Linked DNA regions of Saccharomyces cerevisiae S288C. Changing the gene in region 2 together with the main gene of any one other region gives a genetic interaction. Each region holds a gene or a part of one and is shown on either strand. Other genes may lie near its edges. The genes, in order: PLB2, CQD1, THI3 and PAU13.

Region 1 (4,288 bases), on a different chromosome or scaffold from region 2:
TTAGTTCCATTGTTGCAAAAGGAACGTGAACTAGATGTTATTTTTGCATTAGACAATTCTGCTGATACTGACGACTATTGGCCAGATGGTGCTTCATTAGTTAACACTTATCAGCGTCAATTTGGCAGCCAAGGTCTCAATTTGTCTTTCCCATATGTTCCAGATGTGAACACATTTGTCAACTTGGGGTTGAACAAAAAGCCAACCTTTTTTGGTTGTGATGCAAGAAATTTGACAGACTTGGAGTACATTCCACCATTAATTGTTTACATTCCAAATTCAAGACATTCATTTAATGGTAACCAAAGTACTTTTAAGATGTCATACTCCGATTCAGAACGTCTTGGTATGATTAAGAATGGGTTTGAAGCTGCCACAATGGGTAATTTTACTGATGATTCTGATTTCTTGGGCTGTGTTGGTTGCGCCATTATCAGACGTAAGCAACAAAACTTGAATGCTACATTGCCCTCTGAATGCAGCCAGTGTTTTACCAACTACTGCTGGAACGGTACTATTGACAGCAGGTCAGTCTCAGGTGTAGGAAATGATGATTATTCTTCTTCTGCTTCCTTGTCTGCCTCCGCCGCTGCTGCCTCTGCCTCTGCCTCTGCCTCTGCTTCCGCCTCTGCCTCTGCTTCTGGGTCTTCCACTCATAAGAAAAATGCGGGCAATGCTTTGGTGAATTATTCTAACTTAAACACTAACACTTTTATTGGTGTCTTAAGTGTCATTAGTGCCGTCTTCGGTCTAATTTAGGCTCTTTCTTCGTTTCTATTTCTTTTCTAAAAGAATACGAGAGTGAGAAAAGCGCAAAAATATCAACATACAAATAGTTTACGAGATCTCAAGTGCATACCGCATCTTATTTTTACAAACTCGAAATCTTACGAGCATTAACATTTACATACCGGGTGTCTTCCCTACATATATCTATCTATACAGATATGTTCATGCAGTACTTTCATCGAAGATATATAGATAGGTTTAAAGTGCAGAAGGAAAAAGCTAGGATTGCAGATATGCCATCTGCAGGCCAAATTTCACTTCCACATATCTGCACTGTTCATGAAAATGATCAGTTTCTTTCTTTCTTGCAGCTTTAGATAATCTGGTTTTTCTGCTTTTACACCTTAGAGATGAATCAAAGACACTCAATTCGGTTATACGACAAAGGGCGAACACAATGATGATTCTCACGACTAAATTAAGGACATACTTTTCAATGGTGATGCCTATAGAGAATTTACCGTCGCACCCAATGCAGCCGGTCTGGCCAAACTGGGAAATAAGGTTTTTCTTGGCTCGTATACGCCTTCGAAAAGCTCCTACAAAGGGACGCGTCGCCTTTTTCAACAATTTTTTACCTTGCGGACATTTCTTCCGCATATTCTCCACCTTGGCATTGTTTACCAACAGAAGAAAGTGAAAAAAAAATCAAAAAAAAGGTAAAAAAAGGACAAAGAGTTAAATAGTCTGAGAATCTTCTTCTTTTCGTATCTCATGTGGAGTAGAATATACCTTATATATGAGCACAATTAGTTATCTTTACAAGGCGTTAGAAATGTCTTTTAGCTTGTTTTTCCTTAGTGTGCCTTCAAATCTTATCAAGGGTTAGAAGTGAGTTAAAATTCACTCGCGCTGGTAAAGTAACACTTCTTACGCAGATGCAATTACGGAACATATTACAGGCTAGCTCGCTAATTTCTGGACTTTCGCTCGCTGCAGATTCGTCGTCCACTACTGGTGATGGTTATGCTCCATCAATAATTCCTTGTCCCAGTGATGATACCTCTTTAGTTAGAAACGCGTCTGGCTTATCTACCGCTGAAACTGATTGGTTAAAGAAAAGAGATGCGTACACTAAAGAAGCTTTACATTCCTTCTTAAGCAGAGCTACTTCTAACTTCAGTGACACTTCTTTGCTATCCACTCTTTTCAGTAGTAACTCTTCCAATGTACCCAAAATTGGTATTGCATGCTCTGGTGGTGGTTATCGTGCCATGTTGGGTGGTGCTGGTATGATTGCTGCTATGGACAATCGTACTGATGGTGCTAACGAGCATGGTCTTGGTGGTTTACTACAAAGTTCCACGTATCTATCGGGTTTGTCCGGTGGTAACTGGTTGACTGGTACTTTGGCATGGAACAATTGGACCTCTGTACAGGAAATTGTAGACCATATGAGTGAGAGCGATTCCATCTGGAATATCACGAAATCCATTGTGAACCCTGGTGGCTCTAATTTGACCTACACAATTGAAAGATGGGAGTCCATTGTACAAGAAGTGCAGGCTAAGTCTGATGCAGGCTTCAATATATCTTTGTCGGATTTGTGGGCCCGTGCACTTTCTTACAACTTCTTTCCAAGCTTGCCAGATGCTGGCTCCGCTTTGACTTGGTCCTCTTTGAGAGATGTTGATGTGTTCAAAAACGGTGAAATGCCTTTACCAATTACTGTTGCAGATGGTAGATACCCAGGTACCACCGTGATAAACTTGAATGCCACTCTTTTCGAGTTCACTCCATTTGAAATGGGTTCTTGGGATCCTTCTTTGAACGCTTTTACGGATGTGAAATATCTAGGTACCAACGTTACAAATGGTAAACCGGTCAACAAGGATCAATGCGTTTCTGGTTACGATAATGCTGGATTTGTAATTGCCACATCCGCCAGTTTATTCAACGAATTTTCCCTGGAAGCTTCCACTTCGACCTATTATAAAATGATTAATAGTTTTGCCAACAAGTACGTTAACAACCTATCCCAAGATGACGATGATATTGCAATTTACGCTGCAAATCCATTCAAGGATACAGAATTTGTTGACCGCAATTACACTTCCAGTATTGTTGATGCCGATGATTTGTTTTTAGTTGATGGTGGTGAGGACGGCCAAAATTTGCCGTTGGTTCCACTAATCAAGAAGGAACGTGACTTGGATGTGGTGTTCGCATTGGATATATCCGACAATACTGATGAATCATGGCCAAGTGGTGTGTGCATGACGAACACTTATGAGCGCCAGTATTCTAAGCAAGGTAAAGGAATGGCTTTCCCATATGTTCCAGACGTTAACACCTTCCTTAACTTGGGCTTAACTAATAAGCCAACGTTTTTTGGTTGTGATGCAAAAAATTTGACGGACTTGGAGTATATTCCACCTTTAGTTGTATATATCCCAAACACAAAACATTCATTCAATGGTAACCAAAGTACTTTGAAGATGAACTACAATGTTACAGAACGTCTTGGAATGATCAGAAATGGTTTTGAAGCTGCTACAATGGGCAACTTTACGGATGACTCTAACTTTTTAGGTTGCATAGGTTGTGCCATCATTAGACGTAAGCAAGAAAGCCTAAATGCCACCTTGCCCCCTGAATGTACCAAATGTTTTGCGGATTACTGCTGGAACGGCACACTAAGTACCTCAGCTAATCCTGAACTATCGGGAAATAGTACGTATCAAAGCGGTGCTATTGCCTCTGCAATCTCTGAGGCTACTGACGGTATTCCAATAACGGCTCTCTTAGGTTCATCAACCTCCGGAAATACTACATCAAACTCAACAACCTCGACTTCATCAAATGTCACTTCTAACTCAAACTCTTCGTCAAATACAACTTTAAACTCAAATTCTTCATCCTCTTCAATTTCTTCCTCTACAGCTCGTTCTTCTTCCTCTACGGCAAACAAAGCGAATGCTGCGGCTATTTCCTATGCGAACACTAATACTCTAATGAGTTTGTTAGGTGCCATAACAGCATTATTTGGACTAATTTAGAAGCCCTTCTGAGAAACAATACATAATACATCCTTTCACCCAAAAGGATAATGACAAGTAAATGTATAAAAATGTGTATTAATATGAAAATTTTTTTCCCGATTATCACTCCTCTTTCCGCTATTTTTGGTAGAAGGATGCCTAACTTCAAGGATTGATATATCTTCCTTATTATAAAGTTAAAATGAACAAAGCAAAAAGGTTGAATGGTCCTCAATAGCTTGGCGATGACTTGACTAAGCGACACCAACCGGCCTTCTTTATGTTAGTCAATCTTGTTTTTTTTATATCCTAGTTTATTTGAAACACTATACCTTTAAATATTATAGACAGTATAAGAGATGAGCAATTAATCTCTGATCTTGGCATAACCCTTTGAAATAATAGTCTGAACGCTGTTGCGCCTATTTTCGAGAGCAAAGAGTAAATCCCTCATTACTATACCAGGCTCCTCTCTAGCTTCTCTAAACTTTAGCCCACTTTCTCCTCTAGCCGTGATG
Region 2 (4,418 bases):
AATGCGATGATTGGCAAAGGTTTTTCCGAACTTCATTGATTATATTGTTTGATTATATAAAGACCTTACAGTTTCAGTAGTTTGTCACCTTAGTTGGAGATAGTGGCTATTTTTGTGTAATTTGATGAGGGTTCCCTTCTTAGTTGGGTTTAAATTTTTTGCTACCGTTGCCTTATTGTTCAATGAAGCACTAATTGCAAAACTTAAACTCTTTAATAGTCTCACTTTGTAAGACAATAATTTATTTTTTACTTCTGTCAGCCAACGCTCTCTTTTTAATATAATGTGCACGTTCTAAAAATAATTCTCTTATTCAGTTGGCGCTATTAAGTGAATTAGAAACGTTTTGACGAAATTTACTATTAAAAGAACACTACGAGTCGATAATGACAGCACTGGTCTAAATTTCAGCTAGAGCAACAGCAAATTATTATTTGTCACTTAAATAAACTTGGTCGTTTTTTTGGAGAGCTAATATGTTGGGACAGCGTGTGTAACATTGCTCCACCTGCGAACACGTGGAAGTCGCAATTATAAAAGATGCATAAAAAGAAAGAATATTAATAATTAGGACACAATTGATCAGTCCTGACAAGATCGTATATTTGCTTCATCGAGAGATGCATTAATTGACGCACTTCTAAACCAACCCATATCTTGAGCATTGATAATGTGCTTGCATCTTTCAAGAGACTTTTGGCTTCCCGCTTAAACCCGAATTCACGTAATATAGGCAGCGAACTGTTTACGAAGAGAAGTTACAAGATGTGGGTATTTTTGTTAGTAAAAGAATTTCTTTAGTAGCAATAAAAAGCAAAAAAAAGCAATAGAAAAGGGTTTTAAAAAATTGATGTTATTCTTTAAAACCGTTAATCCATGCGTAAAATACGAACCTTTCAAATAAGTCCAAGTTTGGATCTAACTGGCGTCCAATACCCTCTAGAAGTAAAATAGCGACCACCACGGAAACAAAGTCGGACTCCATTCTAACATGGTGCGACCTTACCATACTAAGCATTTGATCGAGTAAATCGCCAATTGAGACGGTTCCCAATGTAAATGTTCTTTGTTTAACTTTATCCACTAGCTTTTCTACCTTAAACGCAAATACTTCCTTATCAATAGCTGTTTCTGGAGTTCTTGATCTCTCAATCATCAACTCACCAGCTCTATAACCATCAAATCGGGCCAATGCGTTGAATAGAGCTATGAAATTAATTCTGTTTTTTTCATTCAATTCTGTAATTATTCCTGTATCGATAAAACAAATTTGGGGAGTGTAATTAGTTAATACAGACTTCAGTTTTCCAACAAAGTCCTGATCTTGGTCCTCCTCTATCTTCTTCCTCAGGTCGTGCGTTATTCTGTACGATTCAAGTTCGGAGGATATAATGTTTGTGCCGTATTTGTTCGTCTTCACAAATCTGATTATAACATTGCCTGGATGCAAATCAGCATGAACAAAATCATCAAGAATTAGCATTTGTAGAAACGCGTCAACGAAGGGATCACTGACTTTTTTACAAAGTTCAACGTCGTTAATTTGCTTCTTCGTAGATAAAAACTTTTCCATGGAAAGACCATATACATGCTCTTCGAACATAACATCCCTATTTGACAAGGGGAGAAATGGTTTAGGAAATTTCACCTGAATAGAATTTTTAAAGTTCTCATTGAATCTTTCCAGGTTTAACGCCTCAATTCTTAGATCCAACTGAATATTCATTAATATGGAAAACTGATCGACTTCGCTGGGTAAAGACAGCCATTCCATAGTCGGAATCCAATTTATTGCGTCAGCACAGAATTTCATTATTTTCAAATCTCTCCGGATCTGAGATCTTACATTTGGATGCAAGATCTTGATGGCACACCAACGATTTCCATCCTTACCAATTTGTATATTGTCATATTTATCGATGTACTTTTGGGATAGTTCACCCACGTAAACTTGTGCGATGGACCCAACTCCAATTGGTGTTCGATTAAATTCATCAAAAGCATCTTCGATCTTGTCAACCTTTAATGCTTGAGAAAGTTTTTCCAGAGTAAAGCTTAGAGAGTGAGCTGTAACGTTACTATGCAATTTACCCAACTCATGACACAGTGCGTGAGAGAATATATCGGTTCTCGATCCTGCCCATTGTCCGAGTTTAATGAAACTCGGGCCAGCCAATTCCAATGCTTTACGCAGTAGTTGACACCAAATCAATGAACCTCGAGTTTCAGTTATATTGGTGTCCGTAATTTTGAGTTTATGACCAAACCATGATATGGGGTATAATAGGAGAAGAGGTAAAAAAATAGCTGAAATTTCTAAAAACCTTAAAATCGTGCATACAGGCTCAACAATATTATCATTAAAACCGAACCAAAAGATTCTTAGATATCTTATTAATTTATTTCGTGATTCAGTGATCTTAGCAGACCTGAAAGATTTAAGCTTTTCCTGCAATTCGTTTTCTGAGGAAACGTAGAGGCCCATTTCAAAAGTATCACCTTTGGGATCCGGTTTTAGAGAATCATTGTATATCAAACAATTTTGTTTTGGAAACGAATTTTGTGTCAAATAAAAAGCAATTGACGTAGGTATTATGAACTGTCTTATAGGTATTTTATGAAAATGCCGTGTGGACTTGCTATAGTATCGCCAAGAGTTTCTATAAGCGAACTTTAAAAATGACATTGCCCAGATGGTTCTGATGTTCTTTATCTCTATTCTGTGAGGGTTTGATATTGATGAGTAGGTAGAAGATATGGTATAAGGTATTTTCTATAACATCAAACATCTTTTCTTTTTCATCAAATGAGTGAAAAGGTATTATTGCCCCTCATATATTCGGGGTTATTTATTTTTCGTTGCTTGAAGTAAAGCCTTTAATACACACTTAGTATTTAAACACTTAAGATTTACGAATCACAGATTCTAAATTTGTATTTAATAAATTGATTCTAAGTACAGGAAGTATCAAGGGGGGGGGTTGACAGATAGAATCACACCTTGATTAATTTAGTTCCTGATGAACAAGCCAACTTGACCAATCAAACCCTTTCGCGGCACTTTTTCTCTTAGCTCTGCTTGATACATCGACTGGGAACTTCTTCTCTTTGAGCCAACTAACCTCAATCCCTTAAAGATTTTGTAAACCGCAGAAACACCTGGTTGTTTTCGCTTGTTGGCAAAGGTTAATAACACAGTAACTTTCAATCTTGTTCCGAAGTGCAGAGTGCAGTTCCCTGTGTGTTCAAGTGACATACGGCATTTGAATACACTACACTTATCGTCATGTCAAAACAAGTGTTATAGAAGCAGCGTTAATATAATATTAGTACCTGTACAGTTTTAAACTCAATTGAGTGCAAAGATCTGATGCATCCCATTTTAGTTTCTCATAAATTATTGCTTTGGTTCATAGTTCAATTGTAAGCATTATTAAAACAACTGCTTCTATTTAGACAATACAAGAACGCGATCTTTCCAGTAACTGCCTAATCTGAAATTATGTTTTTCAGTTGCGCCTGTGGCCTACACAACTTGCATAATAAGCAGTTAAAAATAACTCCTAATCTTACTAATCTTGTCGAACTAGACTAGCTGTAATGATCTGTCATATATAAGTTAATATTCAACATCGACTGTAATTGTCAATTCAATCTTGACAGCAACGATTGAAGTCATCGCCTCGCCGTAATTGAAAAAAAAATGTAAGATGAATAACAGCTAAGAAAGATAATAATTTTTATGAAAGAAGCATCTGATAGAGAAGAAGCACCAAAAATGGTGGAAAAAAACTATAGTACAGGTTTTAGGAAAGCCCACGGAGAGAAGGATCAATCAGTGACTAAGCCAATCTCGTTAGATGGTAGAACAGGTGAAGTAATTGTTAGAAAATCCACCGGGAAAACTAAAATACGTAAAGGTCAAACGGAAGAAGAGTATACACAGCAATTGCAGCACTACTTCGAAGTAGAACAAGGCCCTGTGCGGACAAAGGTAGGATGGATGGATGAGGTAGATCCCTTGGTTGAGATCCGGGAAGGCAAGTACGATATCTCCAATAAGCATCAGCGACAGGTGCTTAGTGGTTTCTGCCATCGTTTATTTTACCAATGTAAGTACAAGGAGTGTCTGGATCTCAGCACCTATTTTCTGGGGCTCTTTGAACCGTTCAACGTGAAGAATAAAATGAAGAGGGAGCTTGAAGAGTTGGAATATATGATCGAGCGATGTCGTGGGCATGTATTATAAGCCCGAATCAGATACTCAAATTTGAAAAAAGATATCTTTCTCCTCCGACATGGCCGAACTCATTTACATAAATAGCATAAATTAAACAGAATAATAATACGTAAATTACAACAGTCAGAGGGTGCATGAAACCGTCATTAGATAGAGACGTGATCAAAAGTAGAAAATG
Region 3 (4,312 bases), on a different chromosome or scaffold from region 2:
GCTTAGTAAAGAGAAGGTTGAGAAAATGATTAATTTTGATTATAGGTATATTAAAACCAAGGAAAGGACTAGTATGTATAATTATTTTTTATTTTTTTTTTTTATGTTCTTGCCAGTGGAGGAATGTTTCTTTCGTCACAACCGGAGTGAATAGTGGAACTACTGTCAGTTCATAGTATCGCGACACAAAAAAAAATAATTAAAAGAAAAAAAAAGAGAGTGTAAAATAAAGATTTATGAAATTGCATCCCTAATCTTAGAAACTTGCTTACGAAATATCAGGAAGCATAGCGGAACATTTTTCCATATTACATCAACTACCATTTTTTATGGGAATCACATTATATACTAACATAGGTTTAGTTCATAAACGGGTTTATAAACATGACCGCAAAACTGATGTCGACCGAAAAAATCATGGAGGAACTATCGACATCAGTTATCCTACGACAGAAGTGGTTGGCCATGGTTCATTTGGTGTTGTAGTCACGACTGTAATAATTGAGACCAATCAAAAAGTTGCCATAAAGAAAGTACTACAAGATAGAAGATATAAAAATAGGGAGCTCGAAACTATGAAGATGTTGTGCCATCCAAATACTGTGGGTCTACAGTACTACTTTTACGAAAAGGACGAAGAAGATGAAGTATACCTCAATCTGGTTTTGGACTACATGCCTCAGTCGTTATACCAAAGGCTTCGTCATTTTGTTAATTTGAAAATGCAGATGCCGCGTGTTGAAATTAAATTCTATGCATACCAACTATTCAAAGCTTTAAACTATTTGCATAACGTTCCTCGAATCTGTCACAGAGATATAAAACCGCAAAACCTACTGGTGGATCCGACAACTTTTTCTTTCAAGATTTGCGATTTTGGCAGTGCCAAATGCTTGAAACCGGATCAGCCTAATGTGTCTTACATCTGTTCAAGGTACTATAGGGCTCCCGAACTCATGTTTGGTGCCACTAATTACTCAAACCAGGTCGACGTGTGGTCAAGCGCTTGTGTCATTGCTGAGTTGCTTTTGGGCAAGCCCTTGTTCTCTGGTGAAAGCGGTATAGATCAGTTGGTGGAAATTATTAAGATAATGGGCATACCCACAAAGGATGAAATTTCAGGAATGAACCCAAATTATGAAGACCATGTTTTCCCCAATATCAAGCCCATTACTTTGGCTGAAATATTCAAAGCCGAAGATCCCGATACTCTTGACTTGTTAACAAAAACTCTGAAGTATCACCCTTGCGAAAGATTGGTACCTCTACAATGTCTATTATCAAGCTATTTTGACGAAACCAAACGTTGTGATACCGACACTTACGTAAAAGCACAAAACCTGCGTATATTTGACTTCGACGTGGAAACTGAGTTGGGCCATGTTCCACTTGTGGAACGGCCCGCCATTGAAGAACGGTTGAAACATTTTGTTTCTGCACCTTCATCGTCTTTGTGATATATCTCATCCTTCAAATTTCTTAGTCTATTGTATCATTACTATTACATAATATGCATTTGTCTTCTGCACACAGATACACAGCGTATGCAGTTAACCTAACGTATAACGACCGTCCTCTTTCCTTCATTTAATTTCACTTGCTGCTTTTCTAGGCAGCGGTCGCCCAAATTTTCACCGGCCACAAGCGTATGACTGCATATGCAGAACCTTGGCAACTGTAAGAACTCCTATGTTTCTTTATTGCAAACAGTTGCTAAAAGCACTCACATAGAAGAAAAATTGATGAAACTTGCGATGCATTGAACAAATTTCCCTTTCTTCATACTTTACGGCATAGTAATCTTTGAACCTTTTGGTAAGCACCAAATTCGTAATTCATTATCGATATTGTGTAGAAAAGAGTAAAATATAATAAAACGAAAAAAAAAAGGTTTGAAAGAACATAACTACTAAAACGCACCGTCGTCATTCTGAAGATGAATTCTAGCTATACACAGAGATATGCACTGCCGAAGTGTATAGCAATATCAGATTATCTTTTCCATCGGCTCAACCAGCTGAACATACATACCATATTTGGACTCTCCGGAGAATTTAGCATGCCGTTGCTGGATAAACTATACAACATTCCGAACTTACGATGGGCCGGTAATTCTAATGAGTTAAATGCTGCCTACGCAGCAGATGGATACTCACGACTAAAAGGCTTGGGATGTCTCATAACAACCTTTGGTGTAGGCGAATTATCGGCAATCAATGGCGTGGCCGGATCTTACGCTGAACATGTAGGAATACTTCACATAGTGGGTATGCCGCCAACAAGTGCACAAACGAAACAACTACTACTGCATCATACTCTGGGCAATGGTGATTTCACGGTATTTCATAGAATAGCCAGTGATGTAGCATGCTATACAACATTGATTATTGACTCTGAATTATGTGCCGACGAAGTCGATAAGTGCATCAAAAAGGCTTGGATAGAACAGAGGCCAGTATACATGGGCATGCCTGTCAACCAGGTAAATCTCCCGATTGAATCAGCAAGGCTTAATACACCTCTGGATTTACAATTGCATAAAAACGACCCAGACGTAGAGAAAGAAGTTATTTCTCGAATATTGAGTTTTATATACAAAAGCCAGAATCCGGCAATCATCGTAGATGCATGTACTAGTCGACAGAATTTAATCGAGGAGACTAAAGAGCTTTGTAATAGGCTTAAATTTCCAGTTTTTGTTACACCTATGGGTAAGGGTACAGTAAACGAAACAGACCCGCAATTTGGGGGCGTATTCACGGGCTCGATATCAGCCCCAGAAGTAAGAGAAGTAGTTGATTTTGCCGATTTTATCATCGTCATTGGTTGCATGCTCTCCGAATTCAGCACGTCAACTTTCCACTTCCAATATAAAACTAAGAATTGTGCGCTACTATATTCTACATCTGTGAAATTGAAAAATGCCACATATCCTGACTTGAGCATTAAATTACTACTACAGAAAATATTAGCAAATCTTGATGAATCTAAACTGTCTTACCAACCAAGCGAACAACCCAGTATGATGGTTCCAAGACCTTACCCAGCAGGAAATGTCCTCTTGAGACAAGAATGGGTCTGGAATGAAATATCCCATTGGTTCCAACCAGGTGACATAATCATAACAGAAACTGGTGCTTCTGCATTTGGAGTTAACCAGACCAGATTTCCGGTAAATACACTAGGTATTTCGCAAGCTCTTTGGGGATCTGTCGGATATACAATGGGGGCGTGTCTTGGGGCAGAATTTGCTGTTCAAGAGATAAACAAGGATAAATTCCCCGCAACTAAACATAGAGTTATTCTGTTTATGGGTGACGGTGCTTTCCAATTGACAGTTCAAGAATTATCCACAATTGTTAAGTGGGGATTGACACCTTATATTTTTGTGATGAATAACCAAGGTTACTCTGTGGACAGGTTTTTGCATCACAGGTCAGATGCTAGTTATTACGATATCCAACCTTGGAACTACTTGGGATTATTGCGAGTATTTGGTTGCACGAACTACGAAACGAAAAAAATTATTACTGTTGGAGAATTCAGATCCATGATCAGTGACCCAAACTTTGCGACCAATGACAAAATTCGGATGATAGAGATTATGCTACCACCAAGGGATGTTCCACAGGCTCTGCTTGACAGGTGGGTGGTAGAAAAAGAACAGAGCAAACAAGTGCAAGAGGAGAACGAAAATTCTAGCGCAGTAAATACGCCAACTCCAGAATTCCAACCACTTCTAAAAAAAAATCAAGTTGGATACTGATCTGATCTCTCCGCCCTACTACCAGGGACCCTCATGATTACCGCTCGAATGCGACGTTTCCTGCCTCATAAAACTGGCTTGAAAATATTTATTCGCTGAACAGTAGCCTAGCTTATAAAAATTTCATTTAATTAATGTAATATGAAAACTCACATGCCTTCTGTTTCTAAAATTGTCACAGCAAGAAATAACATTACCATACGTGATCTTATTAAACTCTAGTATCTTGTCTAATACTTCATTTAAAAGAAGCCTTAACCCTGTAGCCTCATCTATGTCTGCTACATATCGTGAGGTACGAATATCGTAAGATGATACCACGCAACTTTGTAATGATTTTTTTTTTTTCATTTTTTAAAGAATGCCTTTACATGGTATTTGAAAAAAATATCTTTATAAAGTTTGCGATCTCTTCTGTTCTGAATAATTTTTAGTAAAAGAAATCAAAAGAATAAAGAAATAGTCCGCTTTGTCCAATACAACAGCTTAAACCGATTATCTCTAAAATAACAAGAAGAAATGTCTACTGAATCCGCTTTGTCTTAC
Region 4 (2,712 bases), on a different chromosome or scaffold from region 2:
CATATTGGAATTCACAAGGTACGGGGTAGCCACCAACTTTTTAAAAACCTGATAGCAATAACTGCCATCGTAGAAAAAAGATCTATCTGCACATATACGACGGTCATATACAAATTGGTTCATGTCATATGCAATCCGGTCCCATGTGCTCAAGTCCATGTTAGGTTTATGTGTAATGACTTCCGCTAATAGTTTGAACTTACAATCATCATCTAAACATCTTAACTTATATCTTGAGCAGCTTAAGTAAGGTAAGAGGAGTAAAAGGAATAGTGAAATTGTAATTAGTAAAGCCGCTAAGATAATAATCAAAGTATTACCGTGTGCAGATAATGCCAGGCGGTTTAAGATTATGGTAATAATAATATGGATGAAAATATATGAAATGAATACGATATTCTGTTTTAAGAAATAAGCGCATTTGCTGGGGGTTATGTCCCTTGGAAGGATCACTGTCTCACCTTCGCATAATTTTCTTAATCCTTCTGGTCTTGGTTTAGAATTAGATATTAATAATTCTGAACTCATAGCCTTAGCGGGCCCTCACTTGCTTTTGAATTTGTCTTTATACCACAAGTTAACAATTACATTTTCTATATCCTTTTTATATTGTTATAATTCGGGACTTAAAAGCGGGAATATCTAGAACTGGGAGGATTGCATCATTTTTCTTGGCCCGTATGTTTTTCTTCGAGTTTTGGCCGCAAGACGAGTAAGAAGAGGACAGAAATAAGTATGTTGCATAACTTTTGTAGAATTTACCAGAAAAACTCCAATATAACTTACTTCATTATGACATATAAGCTAGATCTTGATTTCTTTCGTCAACATACTAAAGCACGCTATCGGAGACTTCTTCAAACCCTTTCTTATGAGAACACTTAGCTGACTGTACATTTAAGAAGCTTTAGAGATGAGCCGTCACCATGAATATAGCGATGGTTTTGTCTACAAGGAATACCAACTATTAATACCATTTCCTACAGAAAGTTTTTAATTGAATAAAATACATTAGCGCCATATATTGCCTTTTTCACTTTTCTTTATATCTAGCTAGAAGAAAAATACTGTGCCTCGAAGAATAAATTTTTCCCACCGCACAGAGTTGTAGTACTGCTACAAACTGAACTCAACATTTTTTTTTTACCATACGCGGCTCTTCCAATACTAGCTGCTTCTCAGCGGCCTACAATTACGTAATTGCGTCAATGAATTTCCTGAGAACGCTTAAAAACTACAAACTCTACAAATAAGCGACTCCCAATACACGTTTTCTATTTTTAATTAAACTATCAGGAGAGGGATAATATAGTATTACCTCTTCCATTGGAGGCTGTTTACAGCAAATTGAATATGGGCTTAAACATAAGAATCTGTACGAGGGTCCAAATCTAAAATTCGGATATTCTTTTTGACCGAAAACGGAAACTTCAAAGGCACGGAAAAGGGTTTTATAAGGCACTCTGGCACCCCTATAATAGGCATTCCCACATTCTGCGCATACGAATAGACAAAGGCCCCAGAAAACAATACCTTCGCATACGGAATCTATAAAGATGCATGCCTCGTTTAAAAACAATAACATCTTCATAGTGATAATCAAATTCTGTGAAAGATGAGATATGGAGAATATGCGAGGTACTAAATGAGCGTCTGTTAACGAATCGTTTAAGTAGTGATGACTGATGAAGGCATGGGTATAAATAGAGCTGCTTCAACTATATGCCTTTGAGAATATGTCTTTATTCCTTCCCTTCCTGTTAAGCTTATATCAGCACTAACAAACATAACAAACATAACAAATACAATGGTCAAACTAACTTCAATCGCCGCTGGTGTCGCTGCCATCGCTGCTACTGCTTCCGCAACCACCACTCTAGCTCAATCTGACGAAAGAGTCAACTTGGTTGAATTGGGTGTCTACGTCTCTGATATCAGAGCTCACTTGGCCCAATACTACATGTTCCAAGCCGCCCACCCAACTGAAACCTACCCGGTTGAAGTTGCTGAAGCCGTTTTCAACTACGGTGACTTCACCACCATGTTGACTGGTATTGCCCCAGACCAAGTGACCAGAATGATCACCGGTGTTCCATGGTACTCCAGCAGATTAAAGCCAGCCATCTCCAGTGCTCTATCCAAGGACGGTATCTACACTATCACAAACTAGAGACAAACGCCTTTACGAATGAAATTCCATAAAACTTAAAAAAACAAAAAAAAAAAAGCTTTTTTTTTTGATAGTATAAATAGTTGATTATATTAATGTATACCAGTATTATAAAACCTACTTGATTATTCATGCCGTTCTTATCAGAAGTATTTACTGTAGTGGTAAAATATAGTGCCTTGATAATCCAATAGTCTTGTCTGTCTAAAAGGCTTCAGTTGAATACCTTCTTTCGTACATGTTGCTATTTCAGGGTATCGGGCCGGAGCATTTACCATTTGCGGCGTAAATGCTAAAGTTAATAAATCTGAGTCTTCCTGTTTTATGAGTCAGATGGAGGTGTAACGCAAAGAGTAAGTTAATCACAGAAAAAGGTTAGTATCCATTACATATTTATGTTATAGAACATATATGCGTATAGAGACAGAAAAATTGTTTAATAATAAAATCACCCACGCTTGCGTAAGACGTCCTTGAAGTCTTAATTAGTCCAGCTATAGTTATTAGCTATACCAATTGAAGAACCAATCGGTCGAGCGTTT

Evidence for each region.
Region 1: mutations in CQD1 (region 2) and PLB2 together harm fitness more than expected from each alone (negative genetic interaction), as found in Saccharomyces cerevisiae (2 studies listed by BioGRID).
Region 3: mutations in CQD1 (region 2) and THI3 together harm fitness more than expected from each alone (negative genetic interaction), as found in Saccharomyces cerevisiae (2 studies listed by BioGRID).
Region 4: mutations in CQD1 (region 2) and PAU13 together harm fitness more than expected from each alone (negative genetic interaction), as found in Saccharomyces cerevisiae (2 studies listed by BioGRID).

The regions. Positions count from the first base shown.
Region 1 is NC_001145.3:277,061-281,348, reverse strand, and holds PLB2 (lysophospholipase), read left to right. Parts: upstream 1-1,667; coding exon 1,668-3,788; downstream 3,789-4,288. Other genes in the region: PLB1 (lysophospholipase), read left to right, coding at 1-759; YMR007W (uncharacterized protein), read right to left, coding at 1,009-1,389; TAF4 (Taf4p), read right to left, coding at 4,138-4,288. UniProt on the Saccharomyces cerevisiae protein: Sequentially removes both fatty acyl groups from diacylglycerophospholipids and therefore has both phospholipase A and lysophospholipase activities. However, it does not display transacylase activity.
Region 2 is NC_001148.4:344,704-349,121, forward strand, and holds CQD1 (Cqd1p), read right to left. Parts: upstream 2,687-4,418; coding exon 894-2,686; intron 742-893; coding exon 561-741; downstream 1-560. Other genes in the region: GDE1 (glycerophosphocholine phosphodiesterase), read right to left, coding at 1-36; YPL108W (uncharacterized protein), read left to right, coding at 3,743-4,249; DPC25 (Dpc25p), read left to right, coding at 4,416-4,418.
Region 3 is NC_001136.10:310,096-314,407, reverse strand, and holds THI3 (branched-chain-2-oxoacid decarboxylase THI3), read left to right. Parts: upstream 1-1,936; coding exon 1,937-3,766; downstream 3,767-4,312. Other genes in the region: putative serine/threonine protein kinase MRK1, read left to right, coding at 1-71, 364-1,457; ribosomal protein P1 RPP1A, read left to right, coding at 4,286-4,312. UniProt on the Saccharomyces cerevisiae protein: One of five 2-oxo acid decarboxylases (PDC1, PDC5, PDC6, ARO10, and THI3) involved in amino acid catabolism.
Region 4 is NC_001140.6:11,381-14,092, reverse strand, and holds PAU13 (seripauperin PAU13), read left to right. Parts: upstream 1-1,807; coding exon 1,808-2,170; downstream 2,171-2,712. Other genes in the region: DFP4 (DUP240 family protein), read right to left, coding at 1-528; PXP3 (Pxp3p), read right to left, coding at 1,244-1,591.